3 linked regions of the Arabidopsis thaliana genome follow. The protein of the gene in region 3 interacts with the protein of the main gene of each other region in a pairwise test. Each region holds a gene or a part of one and is shown on either strand. Other genes may lie near its edges. The genes, in order: ENODL15, VP2 and AT5G42000.

The links.
Region 1: the proteins of AT5G42000 (region 3) and ENODL15 interact in a protein complementation assay, tested with the Arabidopsis thaliana proteins (one large-scale study listed by BioGRID).
Region 2: the proteins of AT5G42000 (region 3) and VP2 interact in a protein complementation assay, tested with the Arabidopsis thaliana proteins (one large-scale study listed by BioGRID).

Annotation. Positions count from the first base shown.
Region 1 is NC_003075.7:15,399,263-15,403,795, reverse strand, and holds ENODL15 (early nodulin-like protein 15), read right to left. Parts: upstream 2,157-4,533; 5' UTR 1,999-2,156; coding exon 1,815-1,998; intron 1,720-1,814; coding exon 1,370-1,719; 3' UTR 1,167-1,369; downstream 1-1,166. Other genes in the region: PGR3 (proton gradient regulation 3), read right to left, coding at 1-776; AT4G31830 (uncharacterized protein), read left to right, coding at 2,691-2,993. UniProt on the Arabidopsis thaliana protein: May act as a carbohydrate transporter. Required, together with ENODL11, ENODL12, ENODL13, ENODL14 and ENODL15, for male-female communication and pollen tube reception and burst at the synergid cell surface of the female gametophyte.
Region 2 is NC_003070.9:29,668,930-29,678,144, reverse strand, and holds VP2 (vacuolar H+-pyrophosphatase 2), read right to left. Parts: upstream 6,651-9,215; 5' UTR 6,454-6,650; intron 6,366-6,453; exon of another isoform or gene 6,154-6,365; intron 6,060-6,153; 5' UTR 5,806-6,059; coding exon 5,707-5,805; intron 5,537-5,706; coding exon 5,333-5,536; intron 5,223-5,332; coding exon 5,071-5,222; intron 4,983-5,070; coding exon 4,835-4,982; intron 4,759-4,834; coding exon 4,626-4,758; intron 4,305-4,625; coding exon 4,132-4,304; intron 3,983-4,131; coding exon 3,862-3,982; intron 3,370-3,861; coding exon 3,182-3,369; intron 3,002-3,181; coding exon 2,564-3,001; intron 2,484-2,563; coding exon 2,319-2,483; intron 2,243-2,318; coding exon 2,087-2,242; intron 2,002-2,086; coding exon 1,890-2,001; intron 1,790-1,889; coding exon 1,570-1,789; intron 1,484-1,569; coding exon 1,384-1,483; 3' UTR 1,314-1,383; exon of another isoform or gene 1,197-1,313; coding exon of another isoform or gene 727-1,196; 3' UTR 630-726; downstream 1-629. Other genes in the region: AT1G78922 (uncharacterized protein), read left to right, coding at 330-427, 529-629, 727-1,196; AT1G78915 (Tetratricopeptide repeat (TPR)-like superfamily protein), read left to right, coding at 7,064-7,174, 7,256-7,284, 7,370-7,407, 7,569-7,656, 7,926-8,031, 8,146-8,225, 8,344-8,394, 8,450-8,519 and 3 more. UniProt on the Arabidopsis thaliana protein: Pyrophosphatase active in both inorganic pyrophosphate hydrolysis and H(+) translocation.
Region 3 is NC_003076.8:16,797,315-16,803,026, reverse strand, and holds AT5G42000 (ORMDL family protein), read right to left. Parts: upstream 3,810-5,712; 5' UTR 3,573-3,809; coding exon 3,396-3,572; intron 3,315-3,395; coding exon 3,166-3,314; coding exon of another isoform or gene 3,162-3,165; exon of another isoform or gene 2,485-3,161; coding exon 2,346-2,484; 3' UTR 1,925-2,345; downstream 1-1,924. Other genes in the region: AT5G42010 (Transducin/WD40 repeat-like superfamily protein), read right to left, coding at 1-747; WNK8 (with no lysine (K) kinase 8), read left to right, coding at 5,465-5,554.

The sequences.
Region 1 (4,533 bases), on a different chromosome or scaffold from region 3:
TAAACATTCGGCTTTAACCCCAAAGTCTCCATCTCTTTAAGTAAACCCATCACAGAATCAATATCCCTTCTTTTCCCCAAACCTACCATAAGTGAAGAGTAAGTCTGCAAACTAGGTCTAAAACCTTCCAAGATCATTCTTCTATAAACCTCCATTGCCTCTGTGCAAAACCTAGACTTAAGCAGAAGATGAATCAACCCATTGTATGAATATGCATTCAACACAAAACCAAATTCTCTCATCTTCCGAAGTGCATAAGGTGCTTGCTTCAATCCACCTTTCACAGAAAGACTCTTGAAGATAGTCAAGTAAGTATTAGTATCCCTCTTTATGATTCTTTTCTGCATCAAATCAAACACATAAGCCATTTCCTCAAGTTTACCATCAACCCTCAAAGCTTCAAGCATGTAGTTACAAGTCTCAGTAGTGTGAACTAAATTCAAATTCCCAGCCACTGATTTGAAATACGAAAATGAAGAATCAGTATCAGGAAACGACTTTAAACCCCTCGTTACTTCTTCACTCGATGACAAATCAGGTTTTGAGCTCTTTCTTATCATAGAACCCGAAAAGTCAGAACTTTTCATGGAGACTACACTACATCTCATACTCTTCCTTCTCCAGTGTTTCTTCCGAGACCCAATCTTCAAAGCGTGGAACTTTAATCCTCCAGTAACCAAATTATCGCGACATTTTGCTTTGATGTTACTAACAAGACAAGCATCACCAACTGATATATCACCACACAAACTCGCAGAGCAGAGTAACGCGACCATTCTAGAGATAAGCCAAGCAAGCAAAACAATTCAATTCTCCGGCAAAAATTGAAACGAAAACAGAGATTAACGATGATGATTCATCACATTTCAAGTGGCGCAGATATAACTAACAAAACACAAACACGTGCTGAATAGCTATGAGCATTTTGATTCGTCTCCGTTCACCGGCTGAAAAGAGCGCGAGGGAGTCGATTTCGGTGAACCGGAGATTTTTGATGAAAGAATTTTCGAAGCAGAATAATAAAAAACTTGCCGAGAGGATAAAATCAGACTCGCTCCACTCGATCCTTACCGTTTTGCTTCCCTCCCAAAATATCTTTAGGCCCAATTCAGGCCCATTTTTAGGCCTCTTTTCACGACAGTCCAGGTTTCTTTGTGTTGCTGTAAATTACCTTTTTGGGTACTAAATTCAAAATTCTCATTCACTTTTGTTTTGTTTTCTTTGTTGATTGTTGATAGATCCAACTAATTTATCCAGAATTGAAAAAGAGGAAGAACAATTTAGATTAAAATAAATTTAATGTAGTAAATAACAAAGATTTCTACTTTATATTCCAAAATTAATAAATAGAATTAAGACTAATTGTCTTTTAAAAGAAGAAGGCCCATAATCCAAGAACAAGCCCAAATACGACACTAAATCCGCCGGCGAGCTTAGCGGCACCACTAGTAGGAGCTACGGCTGGACCGTCGAACTCAGATGGCGAAGGACCTGGAGAGAAAGCAGAGTTACGAGGAGTGATGACGACTAGGCGTAGCTTCTGACCCTTTTGACAATGACCCTCTGTTCCACTGACGAAGTAGACCGGACCAGCTTGGTCAAGCTTCACCTTTGTGTTCCCGTCGGTGTAGCTGGCTTTAGGGCTAGTGGTGTTGCATTTCTCGTATGCTTCTCGTGTCACTTGCAAAACCGAGTCTTTACCGGCTTCGTACTTGAATACTGTAATAAACATGTGACGATGTCAGAAACAGAGTATATTGAAGATCACACAAAATGTCTAATTGAAAAAAAAAAGTTGAAAATTATGGATTTACCGATAAAGTCGCCGACTTTGAAGCGAGCCTTTTGAGCCCATTCGTTAAAGGAGAAAGAAGAGGAAGGAGGGATCTTCCAGTCACCGGATTTTCCACCGACGGTAACCTCATTTGCATTCACGGACGAAAAGAAGAAGACAGAGATGCAGAGGAAGATGGTGACCAAAAGAGAAGAAGAAGCCATTGATTAGAATCTAAAACCTTAAAAGTATTAGAGTGTGTAATGTGTTTTAAAGTGTGTTGAGGATGGAGAGAGTGTGGATCTTGTGTGGTTTATATAAAGGTAGAGGACTTGGAAACTAGCCGTTTAGGAATTACGAAAAATTAAAAGGAAAAAATGGTAAATGTTAATGTATCCGTTGGAGAGATGATAAAGGCAACGTAACGGTTAGGATTGAGCGACAAAACTTGAACTCTGATAGAGAAAGTGATTTCACGGTCTTCTAGGAAGACTGGTCAAGCTAAGCTGTTTCTGTTTTTTGTTTTTGTACTTTACTTTTTGTTTGCTAGTGGGAACTGGGTTTATTGGGCCTTGAAGTTGATAAAAGATGAATAAAAGACATATCGCCTAAAGCCCATATGAGAAGCAGAAGACAAAAACCTCCAACTTTGGGCATAAATTTTGATTATAGTTAAAAGTCCAGACCCAATTTGGCACCTGGCTTAGTTACGATTCTAAGGCATGACACCTGCCTAATATGTTTATTACAGAAAATAAAGAGAATCAGCTAGGTGTCCCTTATTGAACACATTAACAAACTCCAACGACACTACGTGTCTTCGTGACTCTTACTATATCCAAAAACCTATAGCTAAAGCTGAATTTTCCATGATTAGTATAGTCCCAACCAAAAAAATACTGAAGAAGGCATAAGCATGGCCGGAGAAGAAGACTGGAGAAAAACAGCAGATACGACGAAGATGAGCTCGGAGGGAGTAAAAGCTGCCGGCGTTGAGTCATCAAAGAGGCCGCCAGGAAGTAATCCAGGTGGTGTTCTTCATCAACGCCGTAACTTGCCATACAGTTACACGACGATGGCTCTAGCCGGATTAGCTATCTCGGGGGCCATCATGTACACTGTTATGTATGCTAAGAAGAAGCCGGAAGCCACTGCCACTGATGTAGCTAAGGCTGCCACAGGGACGGCTAAACCTGAAGATACACATCCAAGAAAGTAAAATTTCAAGGGAAGAATTAAAGGGTTTATCTTCTTCTTCTTTTTTTGCTTTTGTAATTTTGTTCTTGCTTCATGCTCTTGTTGGAACTTCTTATTTACTTGTAATAAAATAACATAACGTGTCCAAGAATGGCTTATGTCAACTACTAGAGCAAGCAGAAGAATAAAATGGGAGGAATAGAGTAGTCTTGTGTAGCAAATGCATGCGTATAATTTAGATCACCGAATCCTCTACATTTCTCTGTGTTATGTCGCTTAAAAGTAGGGCCATTATTGTGGGCTTCTTTTGCGTATTAATATTTTTGGGCCATATCCTAAAAGATGTGTAGAGCATCATCATGCATGGCATTCAAAGACTACAAATCCGGTTTTGCAGTCTTTTGATATGACTTTGATTACGTTTTTATATTTCCAGTCTTAATGAAAAATAGAAAATTCCAATTGTTTATGGAATTTATTCAGTTTGGTTTTGATTTAGTTTTAGGGTAAATTCTCTAACAAGAAAACTCAATTTGAAAATTTCGAACGGTGTGATTATTTTGAATCGGCAATGTGGTCTTGATTACTTACTGTCAAGTGCCAAATAAAAGTTTAAGGAAAGAAATAGTAATTTTTTAGTCAACTACAAAATAATAGCAAGTTGATTCTATGAGACAATTGGTGATTCGCATGTCTTTAAAAAACGTTGATTGGCATAAAATAAGATCGTAACGTTATAAATATGAAAAAATTAGGTGAGTCCACTTAATGGCCCAGAAAAGTAAGTGTATTGACATAGGCTGTTAGGTAGAAACACTCATGTGTTGCTTTATGAGCATAAAACCTGGACGACAAACTTTTTTTTCTCTCCTCACCAACTGCACACATTTTATTTATAAATCAACATTTTCGTCTTTAAATTAGGCTGATCATCGTTTACTTTCTAATCAATTCTGATAAAACATTCAAAGTACTACTACTAAAAGCTTCAGTTCAAGTATCCACTACTTAGAAACATATCTAACGGCTCGTCCATAAGCCATAACTCATGACTAACAATTAAATATCTAAAATCTTCACTTTCCAATTTTTCAATAACAAAAAGATAGAAATTCAATGACTTAAATGAGATTTTGCATAAGTTTGGTATGTAACGTCATTAGAATCAACTCTCTCACTCGTAAATATTAATTAGAGCTACAAATTTAATAGATACGTACATTATATATATACATTGTTTTGTGCAAAATAAAACAAATGGCCACGTTATTTTTTACTTGGATAATAGGGTTTGTGTACTTATTCCTCAAACCCATATGATAACATTTCGTCATTTGGCAAATACAGCTTACTATTACGAAACTCACACCACTATTACAAAACATCCAATTGAGTCTTCTCCATATTGGTGGAGTCTTCTATCATTTTATTTCATGATGTTCAAGAAGAAAACAATAAGATAAAGATAGACCTGAAAACGACCAAAGTTATTCTGCGGAAACTATTTGTACATTCCAAATAATTCAAGTAAGTTTTACACAAATAAAACTAAGGGTAAAAAC
Region 2 (9,215 bases), on a different chromosome or scaffold from region 3:
AATTCCTAACTTCTTACCAAAAAAAAATCGGCTGATGTGTGTGTATAAGTGTATGAATTGTTTTCGAGGGTTTTCAAAATATTCCTACCATGTTTTTGGACCAAAAAAAACAAACGGTTTATTGAAAATTATGAAAAATATGCCGAATTTTCTCTCTGGAAACGGTTTCTCGCAATTTTTTTTCTTTCGTTTCTGAAACTGTACGCGAGGATGTAACTTCATTCATATTCTGAAAATTCACAGAAAATTTATTTATCTCTTTACGTTTGATAAACATGATTGTTGAGAAAATGATTGGAGCGAGTCACTGATTACCGTTCTAAGCAAAAATGGGAAACGCTATAGGCAAAGCATCAAACGACATCGGAGGTTTTATCGGGAATATTTTCACAGCACCGTTAAAAGCCACACTTGGAAGATCCTGTTTGTAAGATTTTCACGTCATTGTCTGAATTCTGTCGTGAAATCGCTTTGGTTTGTTTTTCTATCGCATGTTTTGAGGATTTCTCTTCTGTTTAAAAATTACAGAGATGTATGCTCGGGACCATGGGATCTTGAGTGTTTCATAGAACATTTCTGTCTTCCTGATATTGCAAAGCTTGTGCTGATGTCAAGCCTCTGTTTCATAAGTAAACCTTTCTCTTATTTCCGATTTTTAGCATTCACTATTGATTCTGTGAACTTTCCTTTGTTTTCTATAATTTTGTATTTGTTTCTTTTTCCCAGTTTTGATGTTCATCACCCTCCTGTTCAAGCTTGGAATTTGCCAATGTGTTGTGAAAAGTATCTGCAAAATGTCATGTGCCGCTTGTGCAGCGTACTGGTTCGACATTGGAGAGATGATTAGTTGCTTGTGTCACAGTTTGACTAACATAAATCGGGTCAACCGTCGCAGAAAACGTCTCGATGATATAGAAGCTACGACCTATGATTATCCGAGTGATGATGAATCAAGTTCATCGGACAGTCCCAGTCGAATAGATAACATTAGACCAAAGCAGAGAAGAAGAAGACTAGGAAGCAAACACAGCCACCACCATCATGGCAGCAATCGCAACAACCGCCGTCTCATAAGACTACCGAGTAGACAATTGTCTGTACGAGTTGGAGGCAAATCAAGAAGAGTAAGAAGAAGTACTAGAAAGATTAAATCGAGGAAAATAAAGACTCTCAAAGTCAAAGATGTGGTTGATTAAAATGTCTCTAGAATTCCTTAAAGAGTGTCTCTAAACTCAAAAACAGAATTATCTCATTTATTCAGATGAAATGAAACACAAAAACCATTAATCCATGTAAATCATTTTATAACCAACCTCTCTCCCTCTCTATTTGTATATGTGCAAGAGAGTAAATAAGCCGGGATGGATAAGTAACGGTTCACTTTCAGAGGAAAACCGGAGCCATGACGAGAGTTATAGTCGCAAGCATTTTTATGAGGACGTGAATGGATGGACCGGCTGTGTCCTTGAACGGATCTCCCACGCTACAATTTTCAGATGAATTCTAATGAGAAATCGTATTCAGGAATATAACTTTGAATGAGTGTTGAAGTAGAACGAAAATACTTACGTATCACCAGTCACAGCTGCTTTGTGAGCTTCACTTCCTTTGCCCCCAAGTGCCCCGGTCTCTATGTATTTCTTTGCATTGTCCCAAGCACCTCCCGCCGTGTTTAGGAAAAGTGCCATTAAGATACCACAAACTGTTGCAAACATGAGCATAGAAGCTACAACTTTTGCTCCGAGCAGAGGTTGTCCTGTGTAGTAACCCAAGATTCGAAACACCAAACCTGAAAGAGAGAACAAGAGGTTTGTTTTTGGTCACAATGTTGTGGTTTCAAACTTTCAATACAGTAAGTAAAGAAAAACGAGTAGATATTACTGACTTACCAACTACAATGGGTGATGCAATAGCTAAAGCTCCTGGCTTTATCATTTCTCTTAAAGCTGCAGATGCGACTATGGCGACACAGCGACTATAATCTGGCTTCTCCTTGTACTCCTGCAACAAGATATTTGCTAGTCAACAACGGTACAAGCCAATACACAAGAAAAGGTGAAGCACTCAAAAGGAAAAATATGCTCACCATTATGCCAGGCCTCTCAATAAATTGCCTTCTTACTTCGTTGACAACCTCTTGTGCAGTTCGACCAACTGCCGCGCATGCCCAAGCACTAAAGAGGAAAATAAGCATGGCACCCAATAATCCACCAACGAACACTTCTGGGATAGCAATATCAACCTGATTTTATCCGAGGATGAGTATGAGAAGTTGTCTCAACATCGAGAATACAGCAACGATGCATAACGAAATCTACCTCTTTGAAAGACACATTAGCAAACGCTGAAACCTCGTCCATATACGCACTAAAGAGAAGGAATGATGCAAGTGCAGCAGATCCAATGGCAAACCCTTTCGTTGTTGCTTTTGTGGTGTTCCCAACAGCATCAAGAAGATCAGTGATCTCACGGACACTCTCTGGCTGCACGAAACATTTATTATTTCTACATAGAATAAAGATGGAACATAAGAGCCTTTCAAGCCAATCATGTGACATCTTACCTGCTGGCTCATCTCGACAATCCCACCAGCGTTGTCAGCTATGGGGCCAAACATGTCCATAGTAAGGACATAAGCTGCAGTGCTTAGCATTCCCATTGTAGCAACGGCTGTTCCAAATAGACCTCCAGTGGGAATACCATTTTCGTCCACTAGACCCGAGGTATTGCCCAACCAATACGCAGAAATAATAGCTACACTTATAGTCAAAACTGGAAGAGCAGTTGATTCCAGGCCCAAGCTTACTCCAGCAATGATATTAGTCCCATGACCAGTCGAGCTAGCAAGAGCCAACGTCCGAACAGGCTCGTGCTTATAGTCTGTATAATATTTGGATATCCAGACAAAGATATAGGCTGTGATGATGCCAACCAACCCACATAGGGCGAAATTGAACCATGCAGATGGAGCTTGTTCAGTGTAAAGCAGCCAGCGAGTCGACTACAAACATAAATAATGCTGTCAGAAGAATATAGCAAAGAATTTGTTCGAAATTTCAGTAATAACAAGGCTAGTGTAGGCTAATGAAAAGTCTGAACCAAAAAGCCCATAAAAAGCAGAATTAATTGTAAAAAGAATGAAAGGAACAAGACAATCAATGGTTATGTGTGACAACATTACCGCGCCAAATGTTATAACAGCTAATATAATTGTCAGAGAATATCCTTTCTGAAGTACAGCCATTGGATCCTCTACCGGAGATTTCACACTAGCATCACGTGTTCCCTTGATTGATAGAATACCAATTGAGGATATAATCAAGTCAAAAGAATGAACAACTAGAGGAAAAAGGATAAAGCCTGATGGATCTGCATAATAGAGAAAGATTTGAGTAAGTATCAAGCATGAACAAGAGGTTTAATAGGATGTTTATCAGCGCATATCTAACAACCACTGCTAGAAATGGGTAATGTTATTGAAATTTTTTGACTGCAGCCAAGTGTAGCTTGCTGTCATGAAAAGTAGTCTTCCTTCAATTTTCACACAATGCATAGCAGGTTCGTACAAGGTGCTTCAAACAATAACTCTATACAACTTATGTCGACTTTTTAAATCCTAACAAGTAATAATGTACCCTCAAATCCTCAAGGAGTGACCAAAACATGCAATAAAGCGTAGATTATTCTGTATACAGAATGTAATTTACGAGCTTGAACTCTCTATGCAACTCTTCCTAAGTTTGCATTTCAGATTATAAAATCCTAGCAGTTCATTTAATTTTCTCGGTATGAGTCAGGAACTCACACCATAAGTTATATATTTGCATATACCAGAAGTAACTTTAAAGAGAGATGGTGCACCTTCAATTTTGCACTTCTTAGCCATTGTTCCACCTAGTATCATTGCACTGATGATTTCTGCAGCTATACTTTCAAATAAATCAGCACCTCTAGCAGCACAGTCCCCCACATTGTCTCCAACCTACAAGAAGATGAAAATGGCTTTAAATGCCTAAATGACGAAAACACAAGCAAACCCTTGTAGAGTGATATATGCCCCAAACAAGGATGTCACGTTTGGGAATCACAGAATCAAGAAAGTAAGAAACAAAAAGAACAAAGATCAAATACCAAATCAGCAATAACAGCAGGATTTCGAGGATCATCCTCGGGAATTCCCTGCTCAACTTTCCCAACGAGATCTGCCCCAACATCAGCTCCCTTAGTATATATTCCACCACCCAACTGAGCAAATAAGGCAACAAACGAAGCACCAAAACCATATCCGACAAGAAGAAGAGGTACTGTAAGAGAAACAGAAAATTCAATCAATAAATCTTACAAGTTTAATAGCTCCACTATCGCCCATGCAAATGCAAATTCTGGTCAATAAATCAAGAGAATTACATATAGGGTTCACTGAAAATCTTAGAACTGTATTGGTACCCCACCTCAATCAAGATTAATACAAGTCATGACATATTTAAGAAAATACTGCTCATGTCTGAAAATGATCCTTTGAAAAGATAACAATAACTTTTTGAAACTCAGTACAATGATTATAGAATATACACACAAGACGAAAATGAATATTTTTCATAAAAAAAAAAGAGCAGAAGACTTACGGTCAGTAACATTCATTGAGCCTGGTGAACCCACGCCCAACCACACATAAAATGTAGAATAGAGGATGGCGATACCAATCACAGCCATACCAACAACAACCAGGGCTGAAAACCCACCAGCACGAACGGCTATCTGCATTATATCTGCCACTTAGTATTTGGAAACGTGTACATGACATGTTACCAAAATAGCTAAACTAAAGAAGAACCTGCAATGCTTCTCTCGCAGATCGTCTGGCAGCACTGGAGACCCGCACATTAGCACGAACTGACACCCACATTCCAACATATCCAGCAATACCTGAGCATAGAGCCCCCAAAAGAAATGCAGCAACAGTAATATAAGCAGACATCGCCCTGCAGCAAAATAGTAATATGGCTAAGCTTCATTCACAACAATTCAAAAGATAAAATAAATCTTGTGAATGTAATCATGTATCAGCACCTTCCTAAACCAGCAGCCTCTTGCTGGGGAGTTAAGCTACGGAATAGATATATGCAAAGAATCACAAAAGCTAGCAAAATGGCCATCTTGGATATAGTGCTATACTGCGTTCTGAAAAAACCTTCAGCTCCATCACGTATAGCATCTGATATCTATAAGTAAGAGAATTACCTCACAAATTAGAATTACAAATTTTTGATGAGAACAAAGAAGGAAAAATGTCAACATCATGACTAACACCACATAATCTGAGTGAGCTTACCTCAACCATCTCTGGAGGTCCTTCATCTTTCGCTAAAACCCACTTGGTTAGATATATTGACAAAAGGAAGCTGATGATGCATACTGTGAAGACGAACACGATGATGGGAGAAGTACTTGCCCCCATGTAAAAGATTGCTCCGAAGCAGAAAAGCAGAATTATCGAAAGGACACGGACATTTAATTTCCTAATAATCCGGAATATCTGCCAAAAAACAACTAAACTTTATACAATTTCAAAGAAAATGAAAACGAGATGCTCAAGAAACTAAGATGCTAAACGAAATAGAAGGAAACTAGTTATAATACGCATCTCAGTGATCTGATGCAAGCAAAAAGAAAAGCACTCAAGAAAGAGAGGAATAAAAGTTGTACCAGTGGACTATAGGTTTTACTACGCATGTTGGGAAAAGCCCTAGGCCTGTCATTGAAAGACATCAAACTGGCCTGCTCAACATCTTCATCCATCATCATGTTTTGAGCTGAATTAGCCCTTCGGACTATGTGTAGAGGCGTAAAGTCAATGCTATGGGGCAACTCCGCCCCAGAACTCGGACGCTGAATTTTAATACACTACAACTTTTTCCTCCAAACGTTAACAACAGCACATCACAAAACGAGCACAAGTTAGTATGAACCCTCTTAACTCTAGCTATATCTTTGATTCCAGCTTCTTCAAACTTTCTCAGTAGAGTTGCCACAACAAGTTTCCACCACAATCAAAATTTCTGAAAAAAATAGAAAAGTATGAAAAGTTGTGATGTTTCTCTTTACCAACCAAATAGCATTTTTAAATGAAATATAATCAGAGTAAGGTTCTACAGTAAAGTTTAGCTATAACTTTCATCATTTCCCATGAGCGTAATTGCTTCTACGATCAATTCCCCAGAAAAGTGCGATTAACAAACAGACCTCAAGATCTAATCGACTAAGATTTCAGTGAATAAAACGCAAGGGACTTTGCATTCCGAGTTTAATGAATCAAGCACCGTTACTTTAATTTAGATCTGAGTTCTGTTCTAAGAGAAATTCACATGATCTCTAGACAGGAAATGGATACGTTTCCAGAAACGAATCCAACGAAAAAAAAAAAGCATACGAAGAGTTTATCCGGAAACAAACCCTAAAAATCGGTAAAACAGAGAAGATGACGGCTCCGGTGAGAGTGATCAGAAGGAAACCGCCATTAGCGAAAGCTTGTTGTAGCCGAAGAAGCGCTCTATCCTCTCGCTGTCTCCGTTCTAAATCCGAAGACTTTTCACAGAACTTTCCGAATATTTTTTTCCTAAATTAATTTTTCTACCTTTAATTTTATTTTCACTCCTCAGTGGTTCAATACTAATTTTATGACACATCCTATCCAATGAGTCGTTGACACTTAATCACTATTCTCACTTAAAAAGTTAAAAACTTAAAATCATCCTCGTTTGTTAAATTATATAGATCGAGTTAAATTATCAAAAATACCCATCAATTTTGGAATATTAACATTTGAATATTATATGGGCCTAGCCCAAAATTATGTTTTGCCATTCGGCCCATATAATAGACAATCTGCAAAGTGAAGAAGAAGAAGAACCACTAACGTTATCTTACCGGCCCGATCACGGAGCTCACCTTTCATCGTCAATCTCCGGCGGACGAATTTCTCTTCGTAGCCGTTACTTCTCATTATTTCTTTGAAACTTTCTTAGAAAATTCTCTGTTTTGGTTAGGACAATACAAACAGAGGATGTTGATGACACTAGCGGCGACGACCTCCGTTTCATTTAACTCGAAGCTTCTCCTATTTCGAATACGTTGCTCGGATTCTAACCCTAAGCGTGGCTTCGGCTCAAAAAAGGTTTGATTCCAAATTCTTCTTTGTTCAACTTAATTTTGTTGATTCAAAGTACTGAGACAAAAATGTGAAATCGCATCACAGGAAGAGAAAGACCCGGCATTGCAGCAAAGGTATAAATAGTTTTTGTGTTTGTTTAAAGCATTTAGAATTTTAAATTGCTGTTGTTATATTTTCATATGGACTTCTTTGCTGCAGGAAATCATCTTCTAAACAGTCTGTTTCTGTACCCAGAAGTAAGTATAATTTGATTTTAAAGCATATTGTACGTAACAGATGTTGCTGCTCTCCTTCATGGTGTCTCGAACATAACTTCATTTTTGCATTCTTCAGTTTATCTCAAAAAGTTGGTTTCAATTGAAAGGTTTGCTCAAGAAACTCCTGCATTTGTTTGCAGAGGCACCTGGTCTGAATACTCAGTTTGAAGGAAAATCTGGTCGATCTTTTGATATAGACTTCGATGAACGGCTGGAAAACATCAGAAGGTACCTATGTTTTATGATTCTAGCATGAAGATTGGCTTTAGAGATATATAGGTTACAATAGGATTATTCCTCTGACAATCACACTTGACTTTCTCATTATACCCACAACGACATGATCTTCCTATGAAAGTTTGATTCTTTTTTTTTCTTGATTTGTTCATCACTTGTCTTGCTTTCCACTTCCCTCACCCCCTAGACATAGTCAAGATCATTGTCCTCCCACTGATCGGAATGTTATTTCTGTGACCTCTGCTCTTTTGATGAATCAGGTCAGCTCTTGAGCAGAAAAAGACAGAAGTAGTTAAAGAATTTGGTCCAATTGACTATGATGCACCAGTCAAGTCTGACCAGAAAACAATTGGTCTTGGTACTAAGGTACGCATACATAACATCTTGCAAGTGTTTATTTTTTATTTTGTTCTAAAACCACTTGAGGCCTATAAGCTACTCATACATAACATGACAAAACTTGGGCCCATGCCATGACAGGTTGGAGTTGGCATAGCTGTTGTTGTATTTGGTTTGGTTTTTGCTCTTGGTGACTTTCTTCCCACGGGAAGGTGCGTTAAGTGAAGTCCAAGTCATAACTGTGTCATTTACACCATGTTACTGTTTGTCATTTTCCTTCTTTTTATTCCAGTTTGTAATTGTTTGTGTAAAGATTCTGATGACATCATATGTTCTTAGGATCAGCTGGGTTGGTTTCCGTAATTTCACATTTTTGTCATACCAAGTCATGTTGTCATGTAATTTAGCCGGTGTCAGTTCTAACAATGTTTTTACCACTTTTCAGTGATAGTCCAACTAAGAACACAACAGTAGTTAAAAATCAAATTTCAGAAGAAGAGAAAGCCACGCTTCAGGTAATATTAGGGGCTGATCATGAAGATTTCGTTCATGAACTTTGATAATCTGAATAAAGTAAGATACGTAGTAAACATCTCGATTTTTTTTCATTTTGCAGCAAAGGCTCAAAGAGTTTGAAACAACTCTCAATGGCACGCCTCAGGATCAAGCTGCTCTGGAGGTGAGTGATAACATGCGCATGTTGTGCATACTATTAAATATCTTCTTCATCGGCATTTAGCCATTCATCTGTAGGCTTCCAATAGTAACAAGGAACAACTTAAACTAATAATCAGGTAGTATGTAACAGTTCTTACCTCCACATCTTAAATTGCATGGAACTTTTCTGTTTGCATTAACTGATTCACCGAAGTTAGTAATGTACACATAGTATGCTGAAAACAAGATAGGCTACCTCTTCTGACTTATTTATAATGCTAAAAAAATTCTTAAAGTTGGGGCACTATGCAGGGTGCAGCTGTGACACTGACTGAACTAGGAGATTATTCACGGGCTGCTGCGTTTCTTGAGAAACTCGCTAAGGTTTGTTCTCTCATGCTTTTATATTTTCTTATGGTTTCACATGAACATTCTTGTACGAGACTTAGCTAATAGTGTGTACAAAGTGGGATTCTTGCTCTTGCTCTGTAGGAGAGACCAACTGACCCTGATGTATTTCGACTGCTTGGAGAAGTAAATTATGAACTTAACAA
Region 3 (5,712 bases):
GACACACAGAGACGAAAGCTCCTTGAATTGCTTCTTAAAAGACTGAACTCGAGTTAATTGCCTCCGTATCGATGATCTCGTTGACTCACCATCAGTGCACTCTTCAGTTTTGTCAAGAACATGAGTTAACACACCTAACTTCTTTAACCACCCTTTAGCTCCTTTTTTAGGCGATTCTTCATAACGACTCATTGGAGAGTTCGGTAAATCTCCATAGCTATCAAACCTACTCGAATCAGATTCACTCAATCCCTCAGCAATGCTACTACTATTACTTGAATAGTCTCTCGTCAGCAAAATCTGATCATCAATGTTCTTGGCACGATTCTGAAAAGAACCTCTGAAACTAAATGCTTCAGCCAAAGATGCAGTTGAGAAAGATGAAACGGAGGATCCAGAGGAAGTAGATTCATTCCTCAACAACTTCTCCTCCTTCTCTTCCTCCTCGTGATCAGTTTCAGACACAGAGGTCAACTGTTTCGAAACCGGAATATGGTCGGAACTAGAGTCTCCCAACAGATCAAGATCAAGATCAAAGTCTCGTTTTTTGAAACTAAAACCCATAGATTGAAAAAACTTTTGTCTACGGTTAGTAACACTCTCTGGATTCATAGTCCAAAGATCTAAATCACCAGTTGCTTGAACAAAGTCATCGGCGACTTCAGAGTTACAATCAGAAACAGATGAAACCTCCTCACGAGCATCAGAAAACCAATCTTCCTCTTCCTCGTTCCCTCGAGTACCCATCTCACAGCTTCTGATCAAAAACACACAGATTTCGTCAGAATTCACAAAGTCAAATATCGGACACAATTGCTGAAAAAGGACAGAAATTTGCAACCATGGTTCGAATAAAACTAATCCACACGTAACACCAAAAGGAAGTAGTAAGATAAACTCATGGCAAATCAATACCATCGGCAAAAAGGAGATTACTTAAGGGTAAAGCAAAGAACCCAACAGAGAAAACGAAGAGTTTATGAGAGATTTACTTACATCTTCACCAAAATCAAACCGGGTTTGAATCAAAATTCTGCTCTTTCTTATAAATAGTCTTTGTCTGGTCAAAATGATTGCATCGAAACGAATGAGTTTAAAACTCTTATCCAAACATTGCGACGATTCGGGTCACGTTTCTTAAAGTCGCAAATCCTTGCGAAGGTTTTTATAAACAAAAGGTTGGGTTTTGAAAGAAAGATATTGGAGAGGGTTTAAGAGCGAGATATTCGGAAATTGAGAGGTTTTGTTTCTTCGATTGTACGAAGAAGAAGAAGAAGAAGAGAGGAAGAGAGAAACAAATAAAACAGAACAAAGATCCTTTCCTTCTTCTTTTGTCTTTTTCTTCTCTCTTGTTTTTTTATTTATTAAAAAACTAATTTTGAAATAGTCAAACATTTGTTTGCACTTACTTAGTCAACATGAATATTCTAATCCCACTTTTATTTCAATAATCATATGTTGATTTGTCTTTCTTTAATGTATTTTTACTTTTCTTCTCTTGATTTGAGATAAACGACATTATACTACATCTTAATTTAAGAAAAATTGATCTTTCCCATTATTTTTTTTTGTTTTTCCACGTTTTGATTTGGTCATTGTTTGTTTTAGTTATTTGCCTATTGATAGATGAACAAATTCTAGTCTTTTTTGTGTGAGTCAATATCGATATATGTTACCCACCTATTCACTAAACAATTAGGAACAAGGTGATAACTCAGGGTACAAATGGACAAATTGTTTTTAAAAATTCCCTATTGTTTTTAATTTGGTTTAATGTCATCTAATTATTCATTTACACACTAACAGTAAATTTGAATATAAAAAAAAAATATTGTTTTCAGGTGGTGGGAACACGATTTTGTCAATTTCCCTTTTGAGCTCAATACATTACCTCACGTGTGCTAAAATGTCTTTACCCTTGTCACTAACGTAATTCACCAACAACAACAAAATCATCGGATTTAGTTATAAAGATGATATATATATATATATCAAAAACGGTATATATAAATAAATCTTCCCCAACTATTCATTCAAACCCTAGATTGCTCGCTAAACAACTTTCTGTTGTAACCAGTTTTGGGATTATACAAATAAGAAACTAAGAGAACCACAAAAGAGATCAAATATGAATTGATTAGAAGCCCCAAACAAAGAGTAGAAAGGTTTGAATATGCGATGATGGGATGTGACCAAATAACACATTTTCTCCGGTTAAGGGATTCAATGTCTGTATAGTACAGACATGTTGAATGATGATGATGGCATTTGTTGTTGGATTCCACATTCCAAATACTCTGATTCGCATTATACACAGACCTTTTTCTTTGTTTTCTCAAGTTTTTTCATTGGTCTCCATTGATTCCAAATATGCGGACCTTGTGCATGTGCGGGAATTTCGCAACCACCATGACAAATACAGCCAGTGTGTTGAGAAAGAGCATCGGGTGCTGATAGTCTGTTGTGTGAGAGGCTATCAAGTACCTACATACAAAGTTTGGTCAGACTTTTATGTCACAAAGATCCAATCATTGATTACATATTCGTCACACACAACACAATTGAGGTATTCCACTACACATAATCTAGTAGTGCTTCTTTTAAGAGAGATTCAGCAAACTCATAACAGACCTTATGTCTTGTACGAATGTCTAAATCTAAATCTAAATCCAAGGCTCTTGAGCACTAGCTAAAAGACCTTAATAATCAAGCGAGTTTAATCATAGTAGGAAACTTAGGTCCAACCCTAATCAGTGAACAGATTTGAAGCACTAGTCAACAAACAGAAATCAAAATGAGAAGAACGGTAGTGTCTTGACTCTTGTGTATCTGATTGTCATGTCAAAATGTATTCTGTGTAGTAATAATTGCAAATCAAATTGTCAAAACAACCACTTCACCTAGGAATAGAATTGTAATTAAGCTCATTGACTAGCATCTCTATATAACCAGATGTAAAATGAGCTACAATAAGATAAAGAACAAGTAGGTAGGGAAACGAAGATCAATGTATCTCTAAAACATAACTTAAGCAAAAATTACACCAAATACAGAAACAATCATAGAAAATAAGGTAAGGCATTCAATTTTTCGATACTGAACAAGATCAACAAGAGATGATGATGCAAAACAAAATCCTAATGAGATATGAGAGAAGGAACTTACAAGACAACAGGAACAACGGTGAGAAATTTGCGATTACGTGTAAGCTGCTTGCCATTATCAATCTGTTCCCACCAAGTCAATCTATTATAGACTCCTTGATCATCTCCAAATGGTGTTCCCTTCTTCCAATGGAAGGAATGATACGTGACCTAGAAAACAAAAAAACTCAAAAATTCAAATCTAGAAACCAACAATTTCGAAATTGGATCGGAGGAGATCGGGAATAATACGGTGAAATGAGCGAGATGAACAATGGTCCAAGCGATGCCAGGAGAACAATGGAAGACGGAGAGAACGAGGAGCCAAGAGAAGAAGAGGATGAGAATATAAGTAGTCCAAACACCAGGATATGTGAACCACTCTGTGTTCCGATTCACATCCGTCGTCGGAAGTGCTCTTACGTACATCGTCTTTTTCACCGGAGGGATTTGGAAGAAGATCGGAGATGATGATTGATGAATCGTCGTTGAGCAAGTTTTCTTTCTTCTTTGTTTTTTTTTTCTCTGCTGCGTTCTTTGGGCTCTTTCTGGGCTTTTTATTTTCTACAATTTTTTTAAAAAGAAGCATTAAATTAAAATAGGAAGGTGGTTGGGTGGCTCACCGATCTTAGCCTAAAACAATGATTATCAGTAACTCTGTCTCAAGACTCTCAACGCGTCACTCGATAAACCACGACGACTCATATTTTTAATTTATTGGACTTTTCTTGTCAGCTTACATAGAGGCCCATTACAAAACACACCGGTTTTCCGACCCGACCCGTACCTTTTCATCCGATAATTTAATTTACATTTTCAAAATATGTTCTGAAGTTAATTCTTGACCATATTAGTAAGAGTTATTTCATTTTATTTTTGAACAAATTTTAGCTGCCAAATTTCGAAATCCTTTTTTTTTTGCTACCAAATTTTCCATCCAGTGCTTCCGTGAAAAATATTTCGAATAAAATACCATTTTAAAAAACATCTTCGAATAAATATCTAAAATTATCAGTTTTTTGTTCTTCTCATATTTTCAACTTGATGAGGATTAGATTTAGATTCACCTAATGATTACAATAAACACGATTAAGCCTCGTTGGTTTTTTAAGACAAACTTACAATTTTTTTGTTTTTTCTTTTCTTCATCACACACTCTGTCTCACCAACTTATTCAATAAAAGCAATTGGACTTTTAACACAAAATATATTATTCAACGACAAAATGATTTCGTATTAATGCTATACTATCCAAGGTTCATTAAATTTGAACTAGCTATATCTTTTTATTAAACTTATAGAATTTAGATTCCACAATTTCTTGATTTCCATGCACAGAAAAAAAACTTTAAATAGATTACTATTCCCTCTAATTAAAATATAAGATGTTATAAAAGTTTATCTTTTAAATATTAAAAAATATTTTGTTAGTTTCTATGAAAATTAAATGTATTTGATAATTTGTGATCATTTATATTCTGCAGTTTTTTCTTATGATTAGTTAAAATTTTTAATTCTATAAATAATATTTTTTAGAAAGAATGATCTTAATATGTGTGATTGTTTTAAACATTTTATATTTTGAAACAAAGGAAATAACATCGTATTTCTGAGGATTTACATAATGTTTTTTTTTTGGTGCACCTAGCATAATGTTTTATTAGTAGAAATTATTCATAACCTGAAACATGTAATTGCATAAATGGCCTAAAGTCAGCTGAAATAAAATGAAAACAGAGGATACATAATTAGTAGAATAATCTCAAATATAAGAGAAAGTGCGTTAGTTGATAAAGACAGATAATTTGACTTTCCGATTTATTTGGCCGCCAACCTTTTTTTGTTTTGTTCTTCCTAAATTCCCTTTCTCCGAAATTCCTTTCATTGATTTCATCATCATCATCATCCTTCGTTTTTTCTCTATCGATCTAGCAGATTCTTTCGGGGACCAAAATCAAAATCATGGTGGATCATCAATGGAAGGATTTAATCGGATAAAAGAGAAGAGACGGAATCACGACGGGAGAAGAGATCGGGAAATCGGAAAATCGGAGATGATGGGGATTTCTTTCGCCGCCAAACTCCGTTTCCGATCTCGATTTCGAACTTCTTCAATCGATTCTTATTGCTTCGCTCGTGAGGCTTTCTCCGATTGTATCTCCTCCGTCCATTTCTTCTTCTTATAACCTTTTTCTTTGTAATAACCTCCGTCCTCTTCAGCTTTCTTTCTTTTCATCTTCAATCTCACCTTAAATTCTCCACTTTTTTCTTCTTCTCCTTCTGTTCTCGATTGCTTTGTTTGTTGTGTTGTGCATACATATATGGCTTCTGGTTCTGGATTTTTAGGTCAGATATCGTCCATGGAAGAGGCTGATTTTGCCGAGAAAGATCCTTCTGGCCGTTACATCAGGGTACGTCACTGTCTTCGTTGATTCATGTGTGAATTTGCATTCAATCTCGTTTGGTTGAGTGTTTTTTATTGTTGAATTATGAGGAAATTGATCAGAATTTGAGAATTTTGACCTAGTTTAATGAGTTCTCTTTGTAGTTCTACCTAATGAGGGCTGTT